Linked DNA regions of Macaca mulatta. The protein of the gene in region 6 purifies or fractionates together with the protein of the main gene of each other region. This does not show direct contact. Links are inferred from orthologs where the notes say so. Each region holds a gene or a part of one and is shown on either strand. Other genes may lie near its edges.

The links.
Region 1: the proteins of EFTUD2 (region 6) and PPIH purify together in Homo sapiens (affinity purification with mass spectrometry; 3 studies listed by BioGRID and IntAct, with this or other methods). This does not show direct contact. The link is inferred for Macaca mulatta from reciprocal best matches to the Homo sapiens genes EFTUD2 and PPIH.
Region 2: the proteins of EFTUD2 (region 6) and RUVBL1 purify together in Homo sapiens (affinity purification with mass spectrometry; 4 studies listed by BioGRID and IntAct, with this or other methods). This does not show direct contact. The link is inferred for Macaca mulatta from reciprocal best matches to the Homo sapiens genes EFTUD2 and RUVBL1.
Region 3: the proteins of EFTUD2 (region 6) and PRPF8 purify together in Homo sapiens (affinity purification with mass spectrometry; 9 studies listed by BioGRID and IntAct, with this or other methods). This does not show direct contact. The link is inferred for Macaca mulatta from reciprocal best matches to the Homo sapiens genes EFTUD2 and PRPF8.
Region 4: the proteins of EFTUD2 (region 6) and TOP1 purify together in Homo sapiens (affinity purification with mass spectrometry; 3 studies listed by BioGRID and IntAct, with this or other methods). This does not show direct contact. The link is inferred for Macaca mulatta from reciprocal best matches to the Homo sapiens genes EFTUD2 and TOP1.
Region 5: the proteins of EFTUD2 (region 6) and DNAJC17 purify together in Homo sapiens (affinity purification with mass spectrometry; 4 studies listed by BioGRID and IntAct, with this or other methods). This does not show direct contact. The link is inferred for Macaca mulatta from reciprocal best matches to the Homo sapiens genes EFTUD2 and DNAJC17.
Region 7: the proteins of EFTUD2 (region 6) and PRPF31 purify together in Homo sapiens (affinity purification with mass spectrometry; 4 studies listed by BioGRID and IntAct, with this or other methods). This does not show direct contact. The link is inferred for Macaca mulatta from reciprocal best matches to the Homo sapiens genes EFTUD2 and PRPF31.

The regions. Positions count from the first base shown.
Region 1 is NC_133406.1:198,100,205-198,104,219, forward strand, and holds the start of PPIH (peptidyl-prolyl cis-trans isomerase H), read right to left. Parts: upstream 2,801-4,015; 5' UTR 2,760-2,800; coding exon 2,694-2,759; intron 2,362-2,693; coding exon 2,297-2,361; intron 1,979-2,296; coding exon 1,955-1,978; exon of another isoform or gene 1,862-1,954; coding exon of another isoform or gene 1,836-1,861; intron 1,686-1,835; coding exon 1,641-1,685; intron 326-1,640; coding exon 283-325; intron 1-282. UniProt on the Homo sapiens protein: PPIase that catalyzes the cis-trans isomerization of proline imidic peptide bonds in oligopeptides and may therefore assist protein folding. Participates in pre-mRNA splicing.
Region 2 is NC_133407.1:155,874,757-155,878,256, forward strand, and holds part of RUVBL1 (ruvB-like 1), read left to right. Parts: intron 1-1,481; coding exon 1,482-1,545; intron 1,546-2,932; coding exon 2,933-3,131; intron 3,132-3,500. UniProt on the Homo sapiens protein: Possesses single-stranded DNA-stimulated ATPase and ATP-dependent DNA helicase (3' to 5') activity; hexamerization is thought to be critical for ATP hydrolysis and adjacent subunits in the ring-like structure contribute to the ATPase activity.
Region 3 is NC_133421.1:3,233,291-3,236,790, reverse strand, and holds part of PRPF8 (pre-mRNA-processing-splicing factor 8), read left to right. Parts: intron 1-1,035; coding exon 1,036-1,165; intron 1,166-1,558; coding exon 1,559-1,755; intron 1,756-2,017; coding exon 2,018-2,224; intron 2,225-2,358; coding exon 2,359-2,522; intron 2,523-2,673; coding exon 2,674-2,800; intron 2,801-2,913; coding exon 2,914-3,106; intron 3,107-3,385; coding exon 3,386-3,500. UniProt on the Homo sapiens protein: Plays a role in pre-mRNA splicing as core component of precatalytic, catalytic and postcatalytic spliceosomal complexes, both of the predominant U2-type spliceosome and the minor U12-type spliceosome.
Region 4 is NC_133415.1:93,964,259-93,967,758, reverse strand, and holds part of TOP1 (DNA topoisomerase 1), read right to left. Parts: intron 2,589-3,500; coding exon 2,466-2,588; intron 748-2,465; coding exon 560-747; intron 1-559. UniProt on the Homo sapiens protein: Releases the supercoiling and torsional tension of DNA introduced during the DNA replication and transcription by transiently cleaving and rejoining one strand of the DNA duplex.
Region 5 is NC_133412.1:18,126,749-18,130,248, forward strand, and holds part of DNAJC17 (dnaJ homolog subfamily C member 17), read right to left. Parts: intron 3,362-3,500; coding exon 3,292-3,361; intron 2,964-3,291; coding exon 2,905-2,963; intron 2,671-2,904; coding exon 2,583-2,670; intron 1-2,582. UniProt on the Homo sapiens protein: May negatively affect PAX8-induced thyroglobulin/TG transcription.
Region 6 is NC_133421.1:69,270,413-69,274,352, reverse strand, and holds the start of EFTUD2 (116 kDa U5 small nuclear ribonucleoprotein component), read left to right. Parts: upstream 1-1,140; 5' UTR 1,141-2,072; intron 2,073-3,631; exon of another isoform or gene 3,632-3,753; intron 3,754-3,940. UniProt on the Homo sapiens protein: Required for pre-mRNA splicing as component of the spliceosome, including pre-catalytic, catalytic and post-catalytic spliceosomal complexes. Component of the U5 snRNP and the U4/U6-U5 tri-snRNP complex, a building block of the spliceosome.
Region 7 is NC_133424.1:66,351,068-66,354,567, reverse strand, and holds part of PRPF31 (U4/U6 small nuclear ribonucleoprotein Prp31), read right to left. Parts: intron 3,070-3,500; exon of another isoform or gene 3,065-3,069; coding exon 2,967-3,064; exon of another isoform or gene 2,880-2,966; intron 2,778-2,879; exon of another isoform or gene 2,149-2,777; coding exon 2,042-2,148; exon of another isoform or gene 1,843-2,041; coding exon 1,673-1,842; exon of another isoform or gene 1,378-1,672; intron 1,101-1,377; coding exon 943-1,100; intron 780-942; exon of another isoform or gene 327-779; intron 1-326. UniProt on the Homo sapiens protein: Involved in pre-mRNA splicing as component of the spliceosome. Required for the assembly of the U4/U5/U6 tri-snRNP complex, one of the building blocks of the spliceosome.

The DNA.
Region 1 (4,015 bases), on a different chromosome or scaffold from region 6:
ATCTACAGGGTATTCTTAAAAAGTCCAATTTCTGGCTCAAAAAGGCTGAGATTTGGACCATGGAAGTTAATGCCTCAATCAAAGTGCTAAAGTCTGTTATCTACAGTCAGTTGTACCTAGCCACTTCCAAGAACTTCCCCATCACCATTCTCTCCAACACCCCCATCAAACCTGGCTATTGTTCTCAAGCCTTAAGACTGGGTCTCTGTAGTAAAAACAGCAATTGCAACGATAATAAAAACTAAAACTACAGGTCTTTGATAGAAAAGGAATAGTACTTACATTAACAAAATCTCCACCCTGAATCATGAAATCCTTTATGACCCTGAAACAGAGAGCAAAGAATACTGAGAGAAGATTTTATGGAGACTTTGTTATTATTGTATTAGATTAACATTGATTTCAAAATACACTATAACTTTGGCTATTATAAAATCACCATTCTTAGCTGGGTGCGGTGACTCACGCCTGTAATCCCAGCAGTTTGGGAGGCCGAGGCAGGCAGATCACATGAGGCCAGGAGTTTGAGACCAGCCTGGCCAACATGGCAAAACCCCATCTCTACTAAAAATACAAAAATTAGCCAGTCGTGGTGGCACATGCCTGTATTCCCGGCTACTTGGGAGGCTGAGGCAAAAGAATTGCTTGAACCCAGAAGGCGGAGGTTGCAGTGAGCCAAGATCATGCCACTGCACTCTAGCCTGGGTGACAGAGCGGGACTCTGTCTCAAAAAAAAACCAAAAACCAAAAACCAAAACAACAAAAAAAGAAGATTATTCTTTTCCTGGAATGATTAAGCTGAAAGGATAATTAACCATAAAAAAGGATTTTAGTTATAAATTAGGGCATGTTAGAGTTGATCAAGTGCATGATCTGGTACCTGAACAGTAACAAGAAGAAGGGGCTGAAAGCCTGCAGGAAGAATGACCACATTACTTGCCAAAGCAAAAGGCAGATCAAGGATTTGATGTAAATTTGGGGCAAAGAACTACAGAGAATTTATGTGAAAGGTACTGCTACACATGTAAGGGCTTAACAATTGTTAGCTATTACCCCTAGGGAGGGTCCTTAACCTTTGTTATCCTCAGTTTCCTCCTCTGTAGAATGCAGATCACACATACCACTTCACAGGAGTCTTACTGGGGATTAGAGACCCACAGTTCTAAAGCTGTGATATAATTATGTGCTAACATTGTTACTAACCACAGTGAGGCCATGAGAAAGATTCTATATTGAAATGAGACTAAGTGTTGCCATACTCCACTCCCCAGGAAATATGATTATCCTTGGACAATCATATATGATCATTTTAGGAATTAGTTATAAATAGCAACCAGCAGGATATATTATATGCACTTTAGGATTACAAGTGTACTTCTTTAAAAATCTGCATTTGCACAAACAAGTGCATGAAAAAGACAGGATATTGTAAAGATGAGTAGTTTCTGTTTTAAAGACATAAGAAGTGGGAGAGTATAAGTAGAGTTAGAATATTTAATAAATCTTCAGTTATTGAGTCCACAAAAACATTTCTTCTTAAGAAATGTAAGAATTACCTCTGGTTTTATTTTCCTCTAAAGAGCCTAATCCCCCAGGAAATATTTCTGAAAGACTCTAGGATGGCTTGCCAAAAGCCTTACCTGTGGAAGGTGCTTCCTTTGTATCCTATTGGAACCCCATCTTTTCTATAACAAAAAGAAAGAGACTTGGAGTGATAGCAGGTAGCACAAGGCCTTTCCAGTTTACCATGCACTGGAGCCAAAAGGACTCTCCTAAAGATGGTTGACAGACATAAAGAAGGCAAATAAACTAGGGACAGACCCTTGGGGCATTACCTTCTATCACTGTCACCAGCAATCATTCAAGGCCAGCAGCTGGTTCACCGATACCCTCACCGCAGCCCCAGAACACCCTTCTGGAGCAGGCAAAGAAGTCAAACACATCTGAAACTGACCTGAATTCTCCGGTGCAGAACTGCCTGAAAGGGACAAAAAGTGAACAATTCAATCACTATGACATCACAGTCGTGACCGCCTCTAAAGACGGGAAAGAATAAACAATGGAGCCAGCAAGTCCACCAATCGGCCAGCCAGACGTCCAAACACGGAGACGTACAGACTAACAACGTAAATTAACACGGGAACAATCCAAACGGCAACCAGACAGAGCAATGCACGGAGGAATCAGGTCTCAAGAGCAGTGAGCGGACGGACAGAGGTAGACAGGCTATTCAGGCGGCTGACTAGAGCCCGACTTCTGCCTCAGCTAATCCAGCGGAACTGGAGCACGTCCTTACCTAAAGTTCTCGGCCGTCTTAGGCACAACGTCTGCAAAGAGCTCGATCTTCATGCGGCCAACTTCCTGCAATCAGCGGGAGACTGTCAGAAGGCCCAGTCCAAGACCATGAGGGCTTCACGGAGCTGGGGGCAGGATGGGCTGACCCACCACCCTGCCGCTCGGTATCACCCACCTCCGCCTCTCTGGTCTAACCGCCCAGTTCCTCCAGAAGCGGGGCGCTAGGATTGGGGAGACTTCTCCTCATTTCTCCCCGCCCTGCAGGTCGGTAGGTTCGGGTGCAATTTCGCTTTCTGGCTGGCTTCCCGAGTCCGCTCTCTCTGGGTGAGTTCTGCCTGCCTAGCTAGCCCCGAGCAGTTTCCCTTCGGCGCAGGTGTGGGTAGCGTCCTGGATCTCACCTGACCGCCAATGCTGACATCAAAGAACACCACGGGGTTAACAGGACTTGAATTTGCCACCGCCATGGCTCCGACCCGGAAGCAGAAGTCGGGAGCGTGGGATTCCGGCGAACCTAAAGCCCTGTCCGCGGGTTTCGTCCGGGGAGCAGGCGCGGTGGACGCCGAGAGAGACCGGGCCCCGCCCCCGGAAGCTGTCGCCCCGTGCCGTGTGTGCTGAGGCTGCTGGGGTCTAGCTGGGAGACTCTCCCTGAGACGGGGGACGCGGGAGTGAGGAGGAGGAAAGCCTTGACATCTTTTTGGTTAAGGTCGATGGTCACCCCACTCACGTGGCTGTACTAAGGGCAGTACAAGTTGATCTTGCTCTAGCTAGGGCTTTTGGACTAGGCAGTCGCCAGGGTCCTCCTTATCGGCTCTTGCAACCAAGCCCTCTACACCGCCACACGTGCTGTGTCTGTCTTCTGCCCGCTAGTCTGTGAACACCGTGAAGGCAGGATCTCTGGTTTGTTCATCCTCAGCGTTTAGAACAGCTTGGCACGTAAAGGCTTGCTAAGTAAATATTTGTCCCTTCCTCTAAGTCAGGACAATAGATTATGTTTCCGTTCTGCCACAAGCTCCCAGTTTGGTCATTTCCAATTCGTTTCCCACAGAGTAACTAGAGTTTTTTATTTTTTATTTTTAAAATACCTCTTGTGATTCCTATTTATTTTTAAAATAACTCCTGGCTTCCTATATTTAGAATAAAATCCAATTCTGTACATAGGAAGCCCTCCAGTGCATTAATCTGGCTATTACCTACCTGACCTCATCTTGTACCACTTGCCCTTAGTTACTGTGCTCTGACCTGTCTGCTCCTCCAGGTCACTGAGATCCCTCCTTTCTTTAAGGCCTTGTAATAGCTGTTTCTTCTGTCTGAAATATTCCTTCCAGATCTTAATGTGGGTTGGCGGGGTGATGGTGGGGTTTGGTTGGGCTATGTGTGTGGGAAGTAATGCTCCTTGTAGTTCAGGGCTCACCCCAGATGTTACCTCCTCAGAGGCAACATTAGACCTAATCTAAAGTAGCCCTTGGTCACTCAGATCACTGGTTTGTTTTCTTCATGCCACCCCCCATTTCACATTTGTATGGTATGTGTCTGCACCTCATTTCCTGCCACACACACATACATCTTCCTCCCTAATAGCATATAAACTCCATGAAAGTAGAGACTCTCTCAGTCCTGTTCGCAGCTGTAGCTGCAATGTCTCCTACTGAATAGCACATAGTAGGTAAATATAATAGATTCAATGAATTTAGTGAAAGAAGGGGAACTTGGGCAAGACTCA
Region 2 (3,500 bases), on a different chromosome or scaffold from region 6:
CTCCAGCAGTGGGCTCACGCCTGGGATTCTCTGGGTGTTAATGGCAGGAGGGCAGGAGTGTTCTGTGAGCCCGTTACAGGATTTCAGAAAGCCTGACAAAGCTCTTTCTTTCCCCCTGCTTAGCAAAAGCCACAGTGTTTTAGCTTTGAGCTGGTACTGTTGTCTGCTTCTCATGCAGATGGATACTTATGCCTTGACTAGTAAAATGTAGGAAAGGATGTTATCACTTTACAGCATTTGTAGGAAATATGTGATTAAAAGAAACAAGACACCACTGTTTCTTGTGATGGTCTTGCAGTTTGGTTTCCTCTTCATCCTAAAAAAGACCTCTTCACTATTAGGGAATAGTTTGTTTTCTGACTTGAAATTTGATCCGTGGGTGTTTTGTTCCTTGGAGCTTTGGTCAAGAGATTACTGAAGACTTATTTTGGAGCAACAGGTCCCCTCGGTTGGTGAAGTGGCCATCCGCAAACTGAACTCCTGGGAGCCCTTGACCTGAGAAGAGTGTTGGGCTGGGAGTCAGAAGTCAGGAACTGTGTTGCTCCATCACTGACCAGCTTGGTTAATTTGTCACTTTGGGTCTCTGGGTTTTCTGTGGTTTAGGGTTCTGATTTTGAGTTTTCTCCTACCTGGCAAGGCAGTTTTGAGGACCAGACAGGAAACATTTGCTGCCTTTAGCTATTCAGCATTTAGTGAGCACCTCTGTGTCTCAGGGCCTGGTAACTAACAGGTGATCACTAAATGCTGAACAAATGACCAAACACCAGCCTCTTCCTCTTGCTGACTGCACTCTTAGGAGCCCATAGGAGGATGCAGGTGAGTGGTGAACCTGTTATGGAGTCAGCCATTCCACAGGGAGGGGCCCATAGACTGAGTAGCTCTAGGTTAAGTAAGGACTAGGCTGATGCAAGCCTGTGGTCAAATCTAGTGAGAGGAGGCACAGCAGTATAATCATGGTATATTTATACTTACTCTTTATACTTACTCTTGTAGTCCGTGTGTCCCCAAAGGCACAGAAACATTGGGAGGAAGTCATGAGTCTGGTTAGGGTCAAATGCCCCCTAGAGGGCATTTGACTTGAACTTTAATGACTGGGAACTTCCTAGGAAGGAGAATGGCATTCCTGGCAGATGGAATAGACTCAAAAGCATCGAGTCATAAAAGAGCTTGCGGGTGTCCAGGGCAGGGCTGGTAGTCTCATGTGGCTAATCAAGGAACAAGGGATTGGAAAAAGATAGGGCTGGAGAAGGAGGCTGGGCAGGCCCCACGGAGCTTATACTTACCATGAAAGGATTTTGTTTGATTCTTACAGGTCAAGGGAACCTCTAAAAATTCCTCTGTGTTTAGAAGCTCCTCAGGCTTTGAGGAGGGGTCTCCTTACCTCAGGATCCCATGTTGAGTTGATGAGTGGGATGCAGGGGGATGAGGCTTCTGTAGTCACCTTACAAAGCAGCACTGACTCTAAGTCTTCTCTTATGCAGGGGGGACAAGATATCCTGTCCATGATGGGCCAGCTAATGAAGCCAAAGAAGACAGAAATCACAGGTAGGAGAACCAGCGTGGCCTGCGAGCAAGGGGCAGGGTGGAGGGCCCTACATTCTGAGATGCCCTTGCGGCTCTGTGAGCACATCCACCCTGAGAAAATGCCTCAGAACAGTTCCTTCTTCCTCATAGTTCAGAGCTTGACTCTAGCCTTAGTCTCTGGCATTATTTAGGCAGCCATACAGCAAGCACACTGTGTGGTCTCTGCCCCACTGCAGTCACAGTTTCTGGTCCCTATGAGGCCCCAGAAATGTGGATTTATTTCGCCCAGCTCTGCCCGAGCACAGACTCTGGAGCCTTGGTGCTGTCAGCCCCTCCCTAGTAGAGCACAGGGCAGCTTCACAGACCAGCTCCACGCACTGCCCTGCCCAGTTCGTGGGCTCTTCCTAGAGCTCCACAGGGGACACTGCTGCTGCTCTCCTGTGAACCTTTATTTTACCCTGCGGCTCTTCCCAGCTTTCCTGTTGCTGTTTTTTTCTAATTCTACCTACAATTTCGTCACTTTAAGATGTTAGTTAAACATTAAAGCAAATATTATCTTTAAAGTTTTAGCCAGGGCAGCAATCTGAGACCTTTCTGTTTGAGTTGTCAGGAGCAGTTTCTTTCTTTTCACATGATTTTCAGTGTGCATCCTCTTCGGACAATCCCGGCCTTGTGCCTTTGGTGGAAGACGCTGCCTCAGATCTTCCAGTTTTCTGTTTGTGAGCTGCTCCCTCCTGACAATAACACAGGAGCTGGTTTGGAAAATGAGCACTGAGACCTTAGCTGGGTTATGTAACTTTTGAGAGACTCATCCCTCTAGGAGCTCTGAGATTGGGCCTTTCTTCAGAGCCTTTCATTCCTCGAAGGTTTCTGCTCGGGATTCTAAAAGCACCCACTTCCTTATTCCAGGCACTTGATTGAAAGTTAATTAACCTAAGCATTGTTGTATGGGACCAAAAGAAAGGGTCATTTACTGAGTATAGAATAGGAAAATTTGCATGTGAAAACTCATTTCACTCAGGGCTCCTAAACTCCAGTGTCTCCCAGATCAGACAGAGCTACACTGGGTGTGTGGGAGGTGATAAGGCATGGTAGGGAGTGTGACAGCAGTGAGCATGTGCTGTGAAGGGATTCCCATGCAGAACACCCGTGCTACCTTTTTACATTTAACCAAACACATCTTTTGGGGGAGGCTACCAATTTTGTGACCTTTAGGTGTGATTATCACTGTGTTCAGATGATGACACTGAAGCCTGGAGTGGGGGGACACACCCTGTCAGGGATCACATAGCTAGTAGGAAAACTAGGCTCCCAGCATGGGTTTGGATTGAATTCAGGTGGAGGAGAAAAGGCGATAGTCTCTCCCAGCCCTGTGCTGACCTTGCCTGCCGATCCTTGCATCTCCTAGACAAACTTCGAGGGGAGATTAATAAGGTGGTGAACAAGTACATCGACCAGGGCATTGCTGAGCTGGTCCCGGGTGTGCTGTTTGTTGATGAGGTCCACATGCTGGACATTGAGTGCTTCACCTACCTGCACCGCGCTCTGGAGTCTTCTATCGCCCCCATCGTCATCTTTGCATCCAACCGAGGCAACTGTGTCATCAGGTAGGATGGCTGCCTGCCAGCCACAAGGCTTTTTTACCTTCCAGCTGGGCTCGTTTGTTCCTCAGGATCTCGCTAAACCCCACGAGGTGGAATGGGGATGAGGGGAGGTCACGTTGTTTTTGAAGGAAAACGTGCCAAGTGGCTTGCCTCTGGTCTCATTTCCCTAGTCACCAAAGGCAGCAGCTGCCCTTTCACTCATGATGAGGGTCTCCCATGTGATCTCTGGGGTGTGATACTACAATCTGGTCATTCAATTGGCGTGCACAAAGGTGAGATCAGACAGGGCTAGCCTTTGGTGACATTATACACATGAACGTCTTCAGGCTTCACCTGCACTCTGAGAGGTAGGCATTATTGACATCATTTTTC
Region 3 (3,500 bases), about 66 Mb from region 6:
CAGGTGCCCGCTACCTGTAATCTAGCTTTTTTTTTTTTTTTTAAATTTTTATTTATCTATTTTTTTTTTTTGAGACTGTCTTGCTCTGTTGCCCCGGGGGAATGCAATGGCACGATCTCGGCTCACCACAATCTCTGCCTCCCGGTTCAAGCGATTCTCCTGCTTCAGCCTCCCGAGTAGCTGGGACTACAGGCGCGCACCACCATGCTTGGCTAATTTTTGAATTTTTAGTAGAGATGGGGTTTCACTATGTTAGCCAGGCTGGTCTTGAACTCTTGACCTCAGGTGATCCACCCTCCTTGGTCTCCCAAAGTGCTGGGATTACCAGCGTGAGCCACTGTACGCAGCCTCACTGGACTTACTTTCTCACATCTTTTTTCATTTATACATGTAGACAGGGCTCTTTCCAGGGACCTATTTGGAGACCAGCTATGAGTGTATCCTTACTGCCCCTTTAAATTCACATGGGCAGTCTTAGTTCCTGGTTTTTGCCTTAAGGTTTCTCATTTACCCTTTTGTTTTAGATGTTGTTTAGATGTTGAGGACCCAGAGTTGTTTTTTTCTTTTTACTCCTCTACTGCCATCCATATATTCGTCTGTATGTATATATGTATATATATATTTTTTTTTTTTTTTTTTTTTTTTTTTTTCTGAGACGGAGTCTGGCTCTGTCACCCAGGCTGGAGTGCAGTGGCGCGATCTCGGCTCACTGCAAGCTCCGCCTCCCGGGTTTACTCCATTCTCCTGCCTCAGCCTCCCGAGTAGCTGGGACTACAGGCGCCCGCCACCTCACCCGCCTAGTTTTTTGTATTTTTTAGTAGAGACGGGGTTTCACCGTGTTAGCCAGGATGGTCTCGATCTCCTGACCTCGTGATCCGCCCGTCTCGGCCTCCCAAAGTGCTGGGATTACAGGCTTGAGCCACCGCGCCCGGCCTGTATGTATATTATACATATATGCCCCACCTCTGCCCAGGTTTCTGTTGCTGTTTAAATGCATTGCTAACTTGTGTTCTTAACTTCTGCTTGGGATTATAGGGCCCTGTAGGGAAGGGTCCTGGCTGTGGCTTTTGGGCTGCTGGTTGGCGAGTCTGGCTGTTTTTCATGCGTGGCATTACCCCTTTGTTGGAGCGATGGCTGGGCAACCTCCTGGCCCGGCAATTTGAAGGTGAGTGGTTTTCTCTGTGTCCAACTTCTCCTGTTACTGCTTCAAAGCTACCTCTTGTTGTCTGAGTCTATTCCCTGCTCTTGTATGAGCACCCCTTCCTACTGGATTGCCTTCAGGTTCAGTTCTCAAAATGAGTCTGACCTAGTTTTCTATTTCTTGGGCTTCCTTCTGGGGCCTTGAGAGGCAATCATGCACTTGCAGGAGTGGACATTCTTCAGAAGCGTAGTTGTGAATGTTTAAGGTAGCTCATCTTTTTGCATATGCTGGGCACATGGACGCTTTGTTAATACCTAATTTTATTGTGACCATAATAAGTGAGGGACATGAAGGTAGAGATCCTTATTGAAAGCAAGGAATCATGCTTGTAATCCCCTTGGGATACTCTACTTCTAGGTCGACACTCAAAGGGGGTGGCAAAGACAGTAACAAAACAGCGAGTGGAGTCACATTTCGACCTGGAGCTGCGGGCAGCTGTGATGCATGATATTCTGGACATGATGCCTGAGGGGATCAAACAGAACAAGGCCCGCACAATCCTCCAGCACCTCAGTGAAGCCTGGCGCTGCTGGAAAGCCAACATTCCCTGGAAGGTGGGCGTCTCTGCATTTCCTTGGAGGGTGAACATCGTCTTTAGGTCAGGATCACCACTCTGGGACTCATGAAGGGCCTATCTGGCTCCCACCTCTTTTCTTTTCTCTTTTAGAGAGGTGCTTGCTGTGTTGCTTAGGCTGGCCTCAAGCTCAAGCTCCTGAGCTCGAGCAGTCCTCCTCAGCCTCCTGAGTAGCCGGGACTACAGGTGTGCACCGCAGCACCTGCTTTATCCCGGCTTGATTGTGCTTTTTGGACTTTTAGGTCCCTGGACTGCCAACGCCCATAGAGAATATGATCCTTCGATATGTGAAGGCCAAGGCTGACTGGTGGACCAACACTGCCCACTACAACCGAGAACGGATCCGCCGAGGGGCCACTGTGGACAAGACTGTGTGTAAAAAGAACCTGGGCCGCCTCACCCGGCTGTATCTGAAGGCAGAACAGGAGCGGCAGCACAACTACCTGAAGGTTGGGCAGAGTAGGCTGGGCTGGCTGTGAGCGGTCGGGGAGTGGGCATGAGGGAGGACTGCAGAGTTGTGACTGAACCTTGTTCTCGAGGGAGTGGGCTATAGCGGGAGGCTAATTTCATGTCCACCTTGCAGGACGGGCCTTACATCACGGCGGAGGAAGCAGTGGCAGTATATACCACCACAGTGCATTGGTTGGAAAGCCGCAGGTTCTCACCCATCCCATTCCCCCCACTCTCCTATAAGCATGACACCAAGTTGCTCATCTTGGCATTGGAGCGGCTCAAGGAAGCTTATAGGTGAGTATTAGGGTAGATAGGTTCCTGCTGGGAAGGTGACAGCAGGGAATAGCATCACCCTCAGAGTCCAAAGAAAGAAGGTGTAGCCCCAGCCTCTTCTGGTTTTACTTCCTCCTGGTTTTCCCATTCACCGTTCCCATTGCCTTATCAGTGTGAAGTCTCGGTTGAACCAGTCACAGAGGGAGGAGCTAGGTCTGATTGAGCAGGCCTACGATAACCCCCACGAGGCGCTGTCCCGCATCAAGCGTCACCTCCTCACACAGAGAGCCTTCAAAGAGGTGAGTGAGAGCCTCCCAAGTTTTCTTTTTGGTTCTGCCTTTCATTCTTGGTAGAACCAAAGGTAGCAGGTTGCCTCAGGTGATTGGTGTGAACCAGCCTCCTTGTACCACAGGTGGGCATTGAGTTCATGGATCTCTATAGCCACCTGGTTCCAGTATACGACGTAGAGCCACTGGAGAAGATAACTGATGCCTACCTGGACCAATACCTGTGGTATGAAGCCGACAAGCGCCGCCTGTTCCCACCCTGGATTAAGCCTGCTGACACAGAACCACCTCCACTGCTTGTTTACAAGTGGTGCCAAGGTAGAACTTTCCTGAGATTGCCCTGTGAGGAATGGGGGATGAATTTAGTTCTATGTCAAAATTCTCATCTGGGCAGCATGATTGGTTTACTCTCCTGATGCATGGTAGTAAAAGGAAGTAGTGTTCCTGTTAAACTGAGGAAAGCCCATAGTCAAAGCAATCCGGATGACTACGTGGAATGGTAGTGGGATTGGTTGTGGAAGGTGATGATAATTACTGTGGGGCTAGTCCTGAAAGAGGATTTCTAACCTGCTGGAGACCTGCCTTGCTACTCCTCAGGCATCAATAACCTGCAGGACGTGTGGGAGACAAGTGAAGGCGAGTGCAATGTCATGCTGGAGTCCCGCTTTGAGAAGATGTATGAGAAGATCGACTTGACCCTGCTCAATAGGCT
Region 4 (3,500 bases), on a different chromosome or scaffold from region 6:
TACTTAATAAAGGCCCCAAAGTGCGAAAGTATTGATGTTGGCAATTTGGATATGCCAAAGAGAAGGTGTAGAGTGCTTTAAATGAAAAGGTGAAAATTATCGACTTAATAAAAAAAACTGTATGCTGAAGTTGCTGAGATCTAAGGTAAAAACGAATCTTCCATCTGTGAAACTGTGAAGAAGGAAAAAGAAAGTCATGCTAGTTTTGCTGTTGCACCTCAGACTGCAAAAGTTATAGCCACTGTATGTGGTAAGTACTTAATAAAGATGGAAAAGGCTTTAAATTTGGGGGTGGAAGACATCAACAGAAATGTGTTCCAAGTGACAGCAGTTGGGTCGAAGTTTCAGGTATCCACTGGGGGTCTTGGAACATATCCCCTGTGGATGAGGGGAGACTATTGTACCTCAAAAACATCTGGAGACCTATGCATGAAATACTGTCCTGCTCTTAAGTATCTCCTTTCCCAAACAGTCCTGTGTAACCTGGGAAATATTCCCAAGTACAATAAAGGACACCCTCCACCCCCTTTTTGGCCCACAGGATGAAGTGCGAGCTCACTTGCTACAGTTGATGATTATATCCTCAGGCATGATTCGTCTCTTCAGCATGCCCATCTTAGGGTGGTTGCCCCGGCCACGGAAAAGCCCGGGAGGCTCTATCTTGAAGTTAGCAATCCTCTCTTTGTGGTTATCCATAATACAGAAGCCATATTCTTTCAGTAATTTTTCATTCTCCTCTTTGATTTTCTGGAAGACAGCCAAGAAAGTACTCAAAATAGATTCCGATGCTGTTCTCTACTAATACATTTTTATCTCTTGTGGGAGACTAGGTCAAGATAGAGAAAAGTCTGAAAATGACTAAAAAATGAATTCAAATAAAGGAAAACCTCTAGTGGTTTTCTCAAACTTAAATATCATAAAATTCCCCAAAAAGATCTGCCTATAAGGATTGATTTCAACTAGATTCAAAACTGATTCCTGTGTCTTAAAGGATATATGTTTATAAATGTTGTTTGGGTGTTTTTAAATGTACTTTAAAAATTCGTACTATTTTATTGAGTACTATCAAAACAGGAAATGGAGAGGGGTCTCTGATAGAGCCTCATAAAAGAATAGCTCGAGCCATTTAATTAAAACAGCAGTTAAACAGCTAAAAACATGGGTTTTAAAGTCCAGACAGATCTGTCACTAATTTTTTTGTAGGTATACAGGTTAAATGCTCTATACTATGATCCTTGCTCCAAAAAGGTGGGGTATGGTGGGCAAGATTTTGAGCCTCCTTACCCTCTATTGACTCTTTTTATATACTTATTGATTCAATTTAACTAAGCCCTGCTGCCTTGTGGGTGGGAACAGACCTTGCTGGCAGCAGGTGTCCTTGCAGGGACTCTGACAAGGGGATGTTTATAAAATCTATCTTTGGATCAGTATTCTAAGAACAAAGCTCCAAAGTGATCTTTTAAGTTTCAAAATGCCCCGATGTAAATAATATACTAAATTTCACTAACTTGGAATATTGAGGATAAGATTTACCTGAGACAGAAAGTCTGATGCAATTAACATTCTTATAGTAACACATTAATTTTTAAACTAGTGGCCAAATAAGTACCATGAAACAATGAGTTATATAAATACAATGGCCTGAATTATATAAACATGCAAGTCCTTCAAAATACTGAAACTACAGGAATTTGAAGTGCAAAAAATTCCTTAAAATCCTTAACTTCTAGACTTCCGATTGGAAAAAATGAAATTCTAGCCTGGATTCCTTTAGTTAGGGGCTGACAACTTTTTCTAGATAGAAAATATTTTAGGCTTGAGTGCCACACAGTCTCTTTTGCAACTACTCTCTTTTGCAACTACTCATCTCTGTCATTGTTGCATAAACACAGCCATAGATAATATGTAGAAAAGTAGGGGCAGCTGGTTCCAATAAACTTTTGTTTTCTTTTTTTTTTTCTTTTTTTACAAAAACAGGCAGCCTGTAGAAGAAAAATGACATCCCAGCTGGATACCAGAAAAATTCTTCAGTAATGAGGATGGCCAAGGCTGGAAGATGGAGATGGATGAGCACTGCAAGATTCCACAGTAAAACAGATAAAAGAACAGGAAGGTATATGGCCAATATGATTTCATCTGTCTTAAATCCTTAATATCCAGTAGCCACTGTGGGACAGTTCTGTCCATCCTTAATTACTATATTATTGGCTGGAGTTACTGACTGGTTTTTAGGTCACTGAAGCACCAGGGTTCCTATAGAGAGCTACTGAGCAAAGTACTTATTCACAATTTTCAGTCTAACTAAAACCTTTAAGAAAATTTAGACTTTGAGAATTCTAAGTCTTTAGCACAGAATGATGTGAAATTACTGATGTTAAGTGTTGTGTCGTAAGAACCAAGAAGAAAATTAAATGAACCAATCACGATTCCAAAATTCTCCAGAGGTTTAATAAATTCTGTAGTACCAGTTTCTCTTCCTTGCTCATCTGTTTCCGAGCTTCCGACTGGGCTTTGAAATACTGGCTCATCTGGGTAAAATCACATTTGCTTAGGTTGGTGATAATATTCTTCTCTTCATTAGTCATTTCCTAGTCAAAAGAAAACAGGGAGATGAAAGAAAAACAACTAAACTACACTAGTAAGTCCTTGGGTTTCTTTGCGAATATACCCAAGCACCATTTTTTCAGTCAAAGGTTTTTCGAAGTAGCCAATCTCAATTAATGAATTTTGAAAAAACAAAAAAACACAGAATAAAAAATATTTCTTTATTATAAAATATGTATTTAATAATATCAAAATGTTTTAAAATGACTTATCATGGAAAAAAATGAACTCTTATGTGGTTTCTTAGACTCCGTGGCACACTGTCCCCAGGCGCATGAATACAAGTTTGGAATTCCATACTGATTCTCTCTTAGAAACATTACCCCTATTCTATTCATTTATTAAATTTGCTTTTCAGAGCTAGTTCAGGAAGTAAACTTTACTGCTGCCTCTGTCCACATTATCCAAATTGAGAATAATGAGATTTTAAAAAATCACCTAGGCAAATATAGTATATGTTGTTTCAAGAGTAGAAAGTACCTAGAACAAATGAGCAAGAATTAACAGGGAGTGAACAGGGAGTGGGACATCAGATTAACATTTCTCTTTGCAACAGCAGACACTGGGCAGTCCTGCAGAGACAAACTTTCCTATGCGCAACTAGAGTTGAGGTTTTCTGTTTGGCCTAATCTCATAACCCCCTACCTGCCATCACATGACAGCCGATAGCAAAGATATACGAGTATTCTTTTTTTTTTAAGACGGAGTCTGGCTCTGTCACCCAGGTTGGAGTGCAGTGGCACAATCTCGGCTCACTGCAAGCTCCGCCTCCCAGGTTCACACCATTCTCCTGACTCAGCCTCCCGAGTAGCTGGGACTACAAGCACCCGCCATCACACCCGGCTAATTTTTCTATTTTATAGTAGAGACAGGGTTTCACCATGTTAGCCAGGATG
Region 5 (3,500 bases), on a different chromosome or scaffold from region 6:
TTAGAATCTCCTTTTCTCTCTCTCTTTTTTTTTTTTTGAGATGGAGTCTCCCAGCACTTGCTTTTTTTTTTAATAGAGAAATGGATATTGGGATGCTATATGCACACATTAAAATATACAGATGTTGAAGAGCAAGAGGAAAAGGAGAAAACTTAAGTAAAGAATGCTTGGACTGGGCCAGGCACAGTGGCTCACACCTGTAATCATAGCACTTTGGAAGGCCGAGGGGGGTGGATCACCTGAGGTCAGGAGTTCAAGACCGGCCTAGCCAATGTGGCAAAACCCTGTCTCTACTAAAAATACAAAAATTAGCTGGGTGTGGTGGAACGCAATTTAGTCCCAGCTACTCGGGAGGCTAAGGTAGGAGAATCGCTTGAACTCAGGAGGCAGAGGTTGAAGTGAGCCGAGATTGTGCCACTGCACTCCAGCCTGGGCAACAAGAGCGAAACTCCATTTCAAAAAAAAAAAAAAAAGGCTGGGTGCTGTGGTTCACGCCTGTAATCCCAGCACTTTGGGAGGCCAAGGCGGGCGGATCACGAGGTCAGCAGATCGAGACCATCCTGGTTAACATGGTGAAACCCCATCTCTACTAAAAATACAAAAAATTAGCCAGGCGTGGTGGCGGGCGTCTGTAGTCCCAGCTACTCGGGAGACTGAGGCAGGAGAATGGTGTGAACCTGGGAGGCGGAGCTTGCAGTGAGCCGAGATTGTGCCACTGCACTCCAGCCTGGGCCACAGAGGGAGACTCTGTCTCAAAAATTAAAAAAAAAAAAAGTGCTTGGACCATGCTGCTATAACCAGTGATGTTTTTTTAAGTGAGAAAAAAAAAAAAAATGCTTGTACCAATCTTATTGGGTTGATGAAAATGTTCCAAATCTGATTTATAGTCAGAGTTGCATCATTTGGTAAATTTACGAAAAATCATTGAAGTGTAGACTTGAAATGGGTTGATGTTATGATATACAAAGAATACCTCAATAAAGCTATTAGAGAAGAGAAAGCCTGGACCTCTTTGAATCCTTCTGAGGGAGCTTCTCAAAGTGAAAACTCTGGGTAGGAATTGGGTTTAGAACAAATTAAAAGACCCAGCCAGGCACAGTGGCTTGCACCTGTAGTCCCAGGTACTCAGGAGGCTGAGGCAGAAGAACTGCTTGAGCCCAGGAGTTTGAGGCTGCAGTGAGCCATGATGGTGCCACCCTAGCCTGGGTGACAGTACAAAACCCCGTTTCTCTATTAAAAAATAAAAAAAAAAAAGATTCAGCCAGAAATGGTGAATACAAGCACCAGTTTTTTGTTTGTTTGTTTGTTTTTTGAGATGGAGTCTTGCTCTGTTGCTCAGGCTACAGTGCAGCAGCGTGATCTCGGCTCATTGCAACCTCTGCCTCCCGGGTACAAAGCAATTCTCTGCCTCAGCTTCTCGAGTAGCTGGGATTACAGGCGCCCGCCACCACACCCGGCTAAATTTTGTTTTTTTAGTAGAGAAGGAGTTTTACCATCTTGGCCAGGCTGGTCTTGAACTCCTGACCTCGTGATCCACCTCTCGTGATCCACCTCAGCCTCCCAAAGTGCTGCGGTTACAGGTGTGAGCCACCGCACCCGGCCACAAGCACCAATTTTACTCACCCTGGATAAGTTTAAATCCCAGCTCCAGCAAGCTCTTAAACTTTTGGTGCCTTAGCTCCTTTGCCTATAAAAAATGGCTTCAGAGGCCAGGTGCGGCAGTGCACAGTTGTAATCCCAGCACTTTGGGAGGCTGAGGTGGATAGCTTGAGGCCAAGAGTTTAAGACCAGCCTGGCCAACATTGTGAAACTCCATCTCCACAAAAATTGAACAAAATTAGCTGGGCATGGTGGTACACATCTGTAGTCCCACTACTCGGGAGGCTGAGGAACCAGAATCACTTGAACCCAGGGGGTGGGGGTTGCAGTGAGCTGAGATCGTGCCACTGCTCTCCAGCCTAGGTGACAGGGTAAGACCCTGTCTCAAAAAACCGTGTTTTTTTTTTTTTTTTTTGAGACAGAGTCTCGCTCTGTCGCCCAGGCTGGAGGGCAGTGGCGCGATCTCGGCTCACTGCAAGCTCCGCCTCCCGGGTTCACGCCATTCTCCTGCCTCAGCCTCCCGAGTAGCTGGGACTACAGGTGCCCGCCACGGCGCCCAGCTAATTTTTTTGTATTTTTTTAGTAGAGCCGGGGTTTCACCGTGATAGCCAGATTGGTCTCCATCTCCTGACCTTGTGATCCACCCGCCTTGGCCTCCCAAAGTGCTGGGATTACAGGCGTGAGCCACTGCGCCCGGCCCCAAAAAACCATGTTTTTAAAAAAGGTTTAGTACCCACACTTCCTTGTACAGTTATGACAATTAAAGGGACAATAAGGCATTTGTCACATGCTTAGCTAATATTAAACCTCATTATTATTCCTAAGAGTGTCTTTAGGAACCAACCTCTAAGAGCAGCATTTTGCCCAGAGCCTGAGCCAAAAGGCTTTGAGATGAGTTGCTGGAAGTGAAGCTTCAGGTGAGGGAGATGAATGAAAATGGCCGCAGGAAACCACAGGCCACCGAGCACTATGATGGCACCTACCAAGCTTCACTTTCTTCCTTTTTTCATCTAGTTTCTGGGTCCTCTCTGCTGCCTGCTTCTTGGCTTTCCTGACCTTGTCATATGCAGCCTGGCAGGAGAAAGGGGCACAGGGCAGAGGGTCAGCCGGAGAGTAAAGACAGAGCCCCAGCAATCTGCCTGGCCCCTAGCCCAAGGGCCATCAGAGTGGCAGCCTGGTGACTGGGTCTCCTGGGCTGAGACAGCAAGGACTGTGCCACATGGCAAAGGGCAGAGGACTGAGGTTGAGGGGCAGCAGTAGTCTCTAATCAAGGGGGACGATTCCGATGAAGGAGGCTATGCTTACCCTTGCTGCAGCATCAGTCAGCACCTCCAAGGCCTGAGAAAGCTGGTGGAAGAGTTCAGCTAAACATAAGGATCAAAAAGAGAGAGAAGAAAAATAAAGACTTTGTGATGGTGTGCTCCCTCAAAAAAACAAACAAACAAAAAACACTTAAAAAAAGCCACAGGATGGCAGAAAAGCCGACATCAGCAGATGACAGACCAATTAGGAGGGGTGAGCACCTCAGCAACTGACCAGACACCCCTAACATGAAGGGAAGCCCTGGGACCCACGGCCCGGAGCCAGGCTGTGTGTAAGTACACCCCACAGCACTCACGTGCAGAGCGTACATCAGGAAACACAGGCCTGGGTGAGCGGCTCTTTCTCCCCATGCCCTCAGAAGAGTCTCACCTGCTCTTGGATTATCTGGATTTTTGTCTGGGTGGCAGGAGAGGGCCTTCTGCCTATATGCCTTCTTTACCTGGAAGAGTCAGACACAAGACACTGTCATTCACTCTCATCCCAGGGACAAACAGGAAAACCTTGCTCAATGGGTAAGGGGAATCCGACACACACCTAAAAGAGAAGCTGCTGACGCCCACCTCCTAGCCACCGGGGAG
Region 6 (3,940 bases):
AAGCAGAAGGGGCAGAGGAAGGAGCTCAATGACCCGATCCCAAATCCCTCTGTCCAGCCCAGGGCTGGAACAGAGGTCCCTAGGTACCTGGGCAATGTCTTTAGTTCTACCACTGTACTTCTGTAGCTTCTGCGTATCTGAGGCTGACTGATTTCTACAGAGATATTCTTTTCTTTTTTTTAGACAGGGTCTTGCTCTGTTACCCAGGCTGGAGTGCAGTGGCATGATCTCGGCTCATTGCAACCTCTGCCTCCGGAGTTCAAGCAATTTTCGTGCCTCAGCCGCCCGAGGAGCTGGGACTACAGGCGTGCACCACCACGCCCGCCTAATTTTTGTATTTTTAGGAGAGACGGGGTTTCATCATGTTGGCCAGGCTGGTCTCGAACTCCCGACCTCAAGTGATCCGCGCGCCTCGGCCTCCCAAAGTGCTGGGATTACAGGCGTGAGCCACCTGCAGAGAGATTCTCTACGTGGGTTCTAGTCGTGGCTCTGGCATTTACTTGTTGTGGGACCTCTCTGAACTGCAAACTCCTAGTGAGTTGAGTTAGATTTTGTGGCGGGGTCATCACCAACAGCCCTAGCGCAAGGAAGCAGGAGGTCCCCAACCAATCCCACAGCCACCCTACCCCAACGTGGGGAATCTGAACGCCAAGAAGGGGCTGGGCTGGCCAGTAACCGAACTCAAGTGTCCAGTTCTCAGCCCTCCCCAGGCATTTACTAACCCTTCTGTCCCCTTACTCAGCCTCCTGGACCTTCACCCCAGCAGCCCCGTCCTTGGTCCCCTTGTTTTCTTTGGAGATCCCCTGATAAGTCAACATGAGAGCAGCCCCGCGCAGACCACTCCCGCAGCTGTGGTTGCCCAGCAACTGCGCTAACAGCCTGGCCACGTGATCTGCCGGAAGGCCCCCCCCCCCATTTCAGGGTAGTCCCGAGGCGCCTGATCAGATTCGTTCATCCTCAGGTCTCACCCTCTTTGGAGCAGCCCACGTCTTGGGCTACTCGTCTTGGGGACCGGCTACTCCGCCTTGCCAGTTCCTGTCTCCGCGAGGGCATACCTCGGAACTGGTCCTCAGGCGGAGGGTTGTCCTCCCGGGCAGAAAGGCGACAGCGGCGTCTGCGGGGTCCTTCCTGGCGGCGGGCGCAGACGTTTCTTTGGCGTGGGGCGGAAGCGCGTTCTCCGGCGGCGGCCTCAGAACTCTTAGCTGAGCAGGCGGGAGGTAAGTTGAAGCGGGTTAGCGGCAAGGAATGGTTGCTCCAGGTGGGATAGGAAATTAAAGAGCGTCAGATCTGGAAGAGGCCTTATATGCTATCTGCCCCTTTTGCTTTACGGATGGGTAAATTGAGGCCTGGAGCGGAAAAAATAATGGAAGATCCTCTCCTCCGCGTGCCTCCCCAAAGCTTTCGAAGCGCGCACGCACGCACACACCTCGATTTCGGGGCTGCCTCTATAGCCTCAGTCCGTAAAATCGTATCCCTAGGAAGGAGTGTTGCTCTAACTGTCCAGTCCCGTCGCTCATTCCCTTTTCCATCTGTGCCGCCTTCAGCCGTTCTCTGCCAAGTTCCCTCCGACGTTCCCTTTGAGCGCCTGCATTGTAGCGGGAAGCAGCAGTGAGGTTTGTTACCATGAGTCGCTAGTTTTGTGTAACTGTGGGCAAATCAGCTATATTCTCTGTACCATGTTAGAGTCACTCATTAGTTCGATAAATACTTATTGAGGGCTTAGTCTACGCTAGGCACTGTTCTAAGTAAACAAAACAAGCCCTTGCTTAAACTGTAGTTGGGGAAATGAACGGTAAACAACTAGATAGAAGTCAGCTAATGATAAATGTATAACATTTGTGAATAACAATAAAACAGTGAAAGTGGGAAGTTGGAGAGTATGTATGGGGGACTTTTTAGAGTGACAGAGAAGGTGACATTTTAGTGGAGACTTGATTGAAATAAAGGGACAAGGTGAAAATATCAAAGGGAAGAGCGTTTTGGACAAAGAGAATGGCAAGTGCAGTGGCCCTGAGGCAGAACTGAACTTGGCTTGTTCCATGAACAGCTTTATATAAAATTTTTTTCAATCGGCCGGGCGCGGTGGCTCACGCCTGTAATCCTAGCACTTTGGGAGGCAGACTCGGGCGGATCACCCGAGGTCAGGAGTTCGAGACCAGCCTGGCCAAAATGGTGAAACCCCCCCTCTACTAAAAATACAAAAAAATTAGCCGGGCGTAGTGGTGCACGCCTGTAGTCCCAGCTACTCGGGAGTCTGAGGCAGGAGAATCTCTTGAACCCAGGAGGCGGAGGTTGCAGTGAACCAAGATCGTCCCGTTGTACTCCAGCCTGGGCAACAAGAGCAAAACTCTGTCTCAAAAAATATATATAAAATAAATAGATAAATAATTTCTTCAAGCACTTGACTGGGGTCTTGGGAGAATGAGATAAGCATAAATGCGATAATAGCTTTTTGGAAGTAAAAAGAATCTGTATGCATGTGAAAGTTTCCATAATAATTTACATTTAGTTATTGGTCCTTGGAGCTCCGATTCTCTCTCTACATTCAGCACCCAGCAGATGGCATTGAGGGAGGTGGAGGTACCAGTCTAATCCAAGAAATATCAGCATCTTAAAATTAAACATCCCATTCAGTTAACATTTATCCAGTTTCTACTTATGCAAGGTGCTGTCTTGGCTGTTGACTGTGTTAGCATTGGTACTTTTTTCTCAACTATTTAAAAATGTAAAATGCAGCTGGGTGCGGTGGCTCACAGCTGTAATCTCAGCACTTTGGGAGGCCGAGGCGGGCGAATCACCTGAGGTCAGGAATTCGAAACTAGCCTGGCCAATGTGGTGAAACCCCATCTCTACTAAAAATACAAAAATTAGCCAACTGAGGTGGTGGGTGCCTGTAATCCCAGCTACTTGGGAGGTTGAGGCAGGAGAATCGCTTGAACCTGTGAGGTGGAGGTTGCAGTGAGTCAAGATGGTGCCACTGCACTCCAGCCTGGGCAACAGAATGGGACTCTGTCTCAAAAAAATAAAAAAGTAAAATGCATTCTTAGCTGGAGGACCATGCAAAAACAGGTGGAGGGGCCAGATTTGGCCACAGGTCAGAGTCTGTGAATTCTTGCCCTAAAGTATTAGGAGCTGAAGAGGCATTGTGTCAGCAGCTTACTGTCAAATATTTGGGGAAAAGAAAGTTATTTGTACTGTTCTTGCCACTTTTTGGTATTATTTTAAAATTAAATTTAGTATCATAAAAGAAGTGAAGGGAAGAAGCAGATGCATGGAACACAGGGTTCTCATGATCAAGGATGGCAAAAAATAATGCTAGCTGTTTATTGAGCCTGGAACTCTGGTAAATTCTTTACACAGGGTGTTTTTTGTAATCCTCATAAACATTTATTCAGTGAGGATTATTCATTCCATTTTCCAGTTGAGGAATAAGAATCAGGTTTGGAGAGATGAAGCAACTTACCTGAAGTTACATAGTTGTTAGTGGCAAAGTTAGAATTTGAATCTAAGTCTTCCAACTCCAGAGCCCTGATGCTCTAGTCTGTTATTTATTGCTTATAAACTATAGTTGGTGATGGTAATTAGTACAGTTAACTACTATTTGTTTATTTATTTATTTATTTATTTTGAGACAGAGTTTTGCTCCGTCGCCCAGGCTAAAGCGCAGTGGTGCAATCTCAGCTCACTGCAACCTCTGCCTCCTGGATTCAGGTGATTCTCCTGCCTCAGCCTCCTGAGTAGCTGGGACTACAGGTGCGTGCCACCACACCTGGCTAATTTTTTGTATTTTTAGTAGAGATGGGGTTTCACTGTGTTAGCCAGGATGGTGTCGATCTCCTGACCTCGTGATCTGCCCACCTTGCCCTCCCAAAGTGCTGGAATTACAGGTGTGAGCCACTGCACCCAGCCAGTTAACTACTATTTAAGACAAAATTAAACA
Region 7 (3,500 bases), on a different chromosome or scaffold from region 6:
TGAGTTATGGGGCATCACCTGACCTGGAGACAGACCAGCCACACGGCAACACAGTCGTGTCTACACAGCAGAGCCACAATAAAGACTGAACACCACGGCCCAGGCAAGCGTCCCTGGCCCAGGCTTAAGTGCAGTGGTGCAATCTTGGCTCGCTGCAACCTCCGCCTCCCGGGCGCAAAGTATCCTCCCATCTCAGCCTCCCAAGTAGCTGGGATGACAGGCAAGCGCTGCCACACCGGGTTTTTTATTCTTGTAGAGACAGGGTGTTTCCAATCCCATTGGAATCAAGACAAAAAAAAGAGTCGGGGTCTCACTATGTTGCCCAGGTTAGTCTTCAACTTCTGGCCTCAAGTGATGCTCCCGCCTCGGCCTCGCAAAGTGCTGGGATTACGGGTGTGAGGCTGGCGGCCCTGTGTGTGCTGTCAGGCATCGATGCCGGGAGGGTGATGTGTCCTGACTGCGGGGAGAGGACACATCGCCCTCCGAGGTTGGTGACCTCTCCTGCTCCTCCTGTGTGTCTCTCCCTGTGGCTAATGTTAATCTGTTATACAGTCCCCAGCACAGCAGCCCTCAGGGGTTCCGTGTCTTTCCAGTGACGGTGGCCTTCGGAGCAGCTGCTAACCCGACGCTGCTTGTCGTGAGCTAGGCCTGCCTTGTGAGGGCCTCGTCTACATGGAGCCCTCGCCCCAACTCGTGAAGCAGGCGCTGTGCTCCCATTTTCGAGGGGAGGAGACTGAGGCACAGGGCACTCACGCCTCTTGCCCACAGTCACCCGACAGGTGTGCTGCAGAACCCTGGCTCTCACATCCCATGCTACCCTGTCCCCGGCTCCTGAGTGCTACTGTCAGCTGGGCCAGATGGTGGGGGTGGCTGCTCAGGCCGTCTGGGCAGGCGGAAGGCTCCAGGGGAGCCGGGGGAGGGGCTGTGACGCGGTGGGCTCACCGGGGGCAGGGACTGCACAATGTCACTGTGGTAGATGTAGCCGGTGTGGGGCAGCACTGAGGTAGACGAGAAGCCCGACAGCGTCTTGCGCTGGGCCCCGAGCAGCATGATGTTGCAGGCGGGCATCTTGGAGAGGTTGGTCAGGCCGCCGGCCACGCCTGCGGTGGGAGGAGGACAGGGGCGGTCAGAAGAAAGCGGGGGAGGCGGGGGTGCGCACATCTGCCTGGGGGCTCGACATGTGCCAAGCACCTTTACGTGAGGTTCTGGCTGGATTCCTCGGTGGCCCTGCCAGGCGGGCGACCTGGCCCATTCCGCGAGGGGCAGACGCAAAGGAGGCTCAGAGAGGGAGGGCAGCTGGCCTGGGGTGCAGGGAGGAGGCCCCCAACAGGCAACTGACCACCACGTTTGTGCTAAGCCACACTACCCCCATTCCAGGGATGTCTGTGTTTTGGAACCATTTTCACCAAACCAGGAGCCCCCTGACAACAGGGCCTGGGTGTGGTCATCTCTGGCTTTCCGGCACAGGGGAGGGAGGAGGAGCTGTGGGTGAGTGTTTCTCCCAGACGAGGCTTTGCTGTGTGCCAGGCTGGCTGACCTCTGTCACGTCCAGGGAGACGGGGTGTTGAGGCCCAGGTGCCAAAGTCCCCATTCTACAGAAAAGGGAAGCAGCTTCCCCCAGATCACAGTGTCAGCAGAGTCCCGCTCCATGGGACCCAGCCCAGGGCCTCACCCATGATCTTGGCGGCCGTGGACGCCCCAATAATGATGGAGAGGTTGGGCGCGATGAAGGACATCCGGGACTCCACGTACTCGTAGATGCGGTGCTTGGAGGCGTTCAGCTCCAGCGCCATGTCACAGGCCTCCTCCAGCCGCTCCAGCTCCTCCTCCGACAGCTGCTGCCTGCAGGGGCGGGTGGGCCCAGCCTCCTGGGTCTCCCGCCTGCTTGGTGCCCAGCACCCACCCTCTCAGTTGTGTGTGTGTGCACGTGTGTGTGTGTGTGTGTGTGTGCGTGTGTGTGTATGCCCACCTGCGTGGGTAGCTTCAGCCTAATCCCCAGTCCCACTGGCCCGGGCCCGGCGCCTCCCTCCAGCGGACATACCCCTGGGTGGTGGAGGCGGTGACGCTGACGACCATGATGGTGGCGTTGGTGAGGATCTGCTGCAGGTTCTCATTGTTCTTGCACTTGTCCAGGCTGTTGCCCAGCTCCTGGGCGCGAGCAGAGAAGACAGGGGAGGCTCAGGAACTCAGGAAGGCTTGAGAGCCTCTCTGGCCCTGCACCTACTCGGGTCTCTTCTCGGGGACACTGGGAAAGTCAGGGTCTCTACACTGGGGGCCTCTCCTGCCTCCACCGCCTGAAGCATCCACACCGTCTGCTCTGCTTTGGAAACGGAACCTGGGCAGAGCAGCGTCTGGGAAGACCGCGGCCTCACAAGCCTCTGCCTGTGTCGAGTCGGAGCACAAACCCGCGGCCTCGCTTCCCTGCGGGGGCTTCCCCCACCACCATCCTGATCCTTTCCCGGACACACGTGGGGACCGCCTCCTCTCCCTGCCCTCACCTGCATCCGCCCCTCTTTTCCGAAACCCTTCCTTGGCTTTCTCATAAGACCCAAAGGCTCAGTGTGATCCGACCTCTTCCGCGTCCCCTCCTTCCCCGCCTCACTTCCTCCCCGCTTGTTCCCTCTCCGGCTCTCCATACTTAACACATCTCTCTCCCCCAAATCTCCGCGTGCCTGCCCTGTGACGACCTTCGGATGTCAACTCCAATGCCACCGGCTCCGACCACAGCGGAAGCAGCGCGGGTCAGGCCAGCGGGGAAGCCCTCTCGGGAGACTGGGGTACGAGGGGAGCCCTGAGAAAGTCCCATCCAGGCTCCGTCCCTCTCACCCTGGGCAGAGCAGGCCACTGAGCCTCCGTCCACTCCTCTCCTTCACCTCCAGACCCCGAGGCCTCTGGGGGCGGGTCCAAGAGTGAGCCCTGCCTGCACCTTCACACCAGCAGAAGCACCGCTCCTCCTCTGCTCTCACCTTGACCGTGCGGATGTAATCCAGTGCATTGGGGACCAAGGACTCCAGTTCAGGGAATCTCTTCGAGTACTTATCCCGGATGAACTTATGGATGATGTCTAGGGTAAACGGGACAGGCGGGTGTCAGGTGAGACGGGAGGCAGACTCTGCTGGTTGGCCCTAACACCCACGTCCCCTTCTTCCTTTAGTAACTGAAGCCCTGGCTTGTAGCCTGGCATACGGGCACCAGCATACAGGCTCCATTTTTCAGCCGCCCTTACCGCTAGGTGTGACCAGGGGAATTAGTTCTGGTCTGTAAAATGTGAGCTGCAGTGACATGTTCTTAAAAAAAAGAAGTGCCTTGCTGGTGGGAATGCAGAGGCGACGGCTGGACGTGGGGCAGTCCCCTCGCACCACGAGGCAGGTGGCCGACCAACAAGATGGAAAGGGCTGGGGCCTTACGGGCAGCCAAGCGGCCACGCCGTCCCCGAGTGCTCGCTCAGACTCATACGCGAGGGAGCCACGCCGTCCCCGAGTGCTCGCTCAGACTCATAC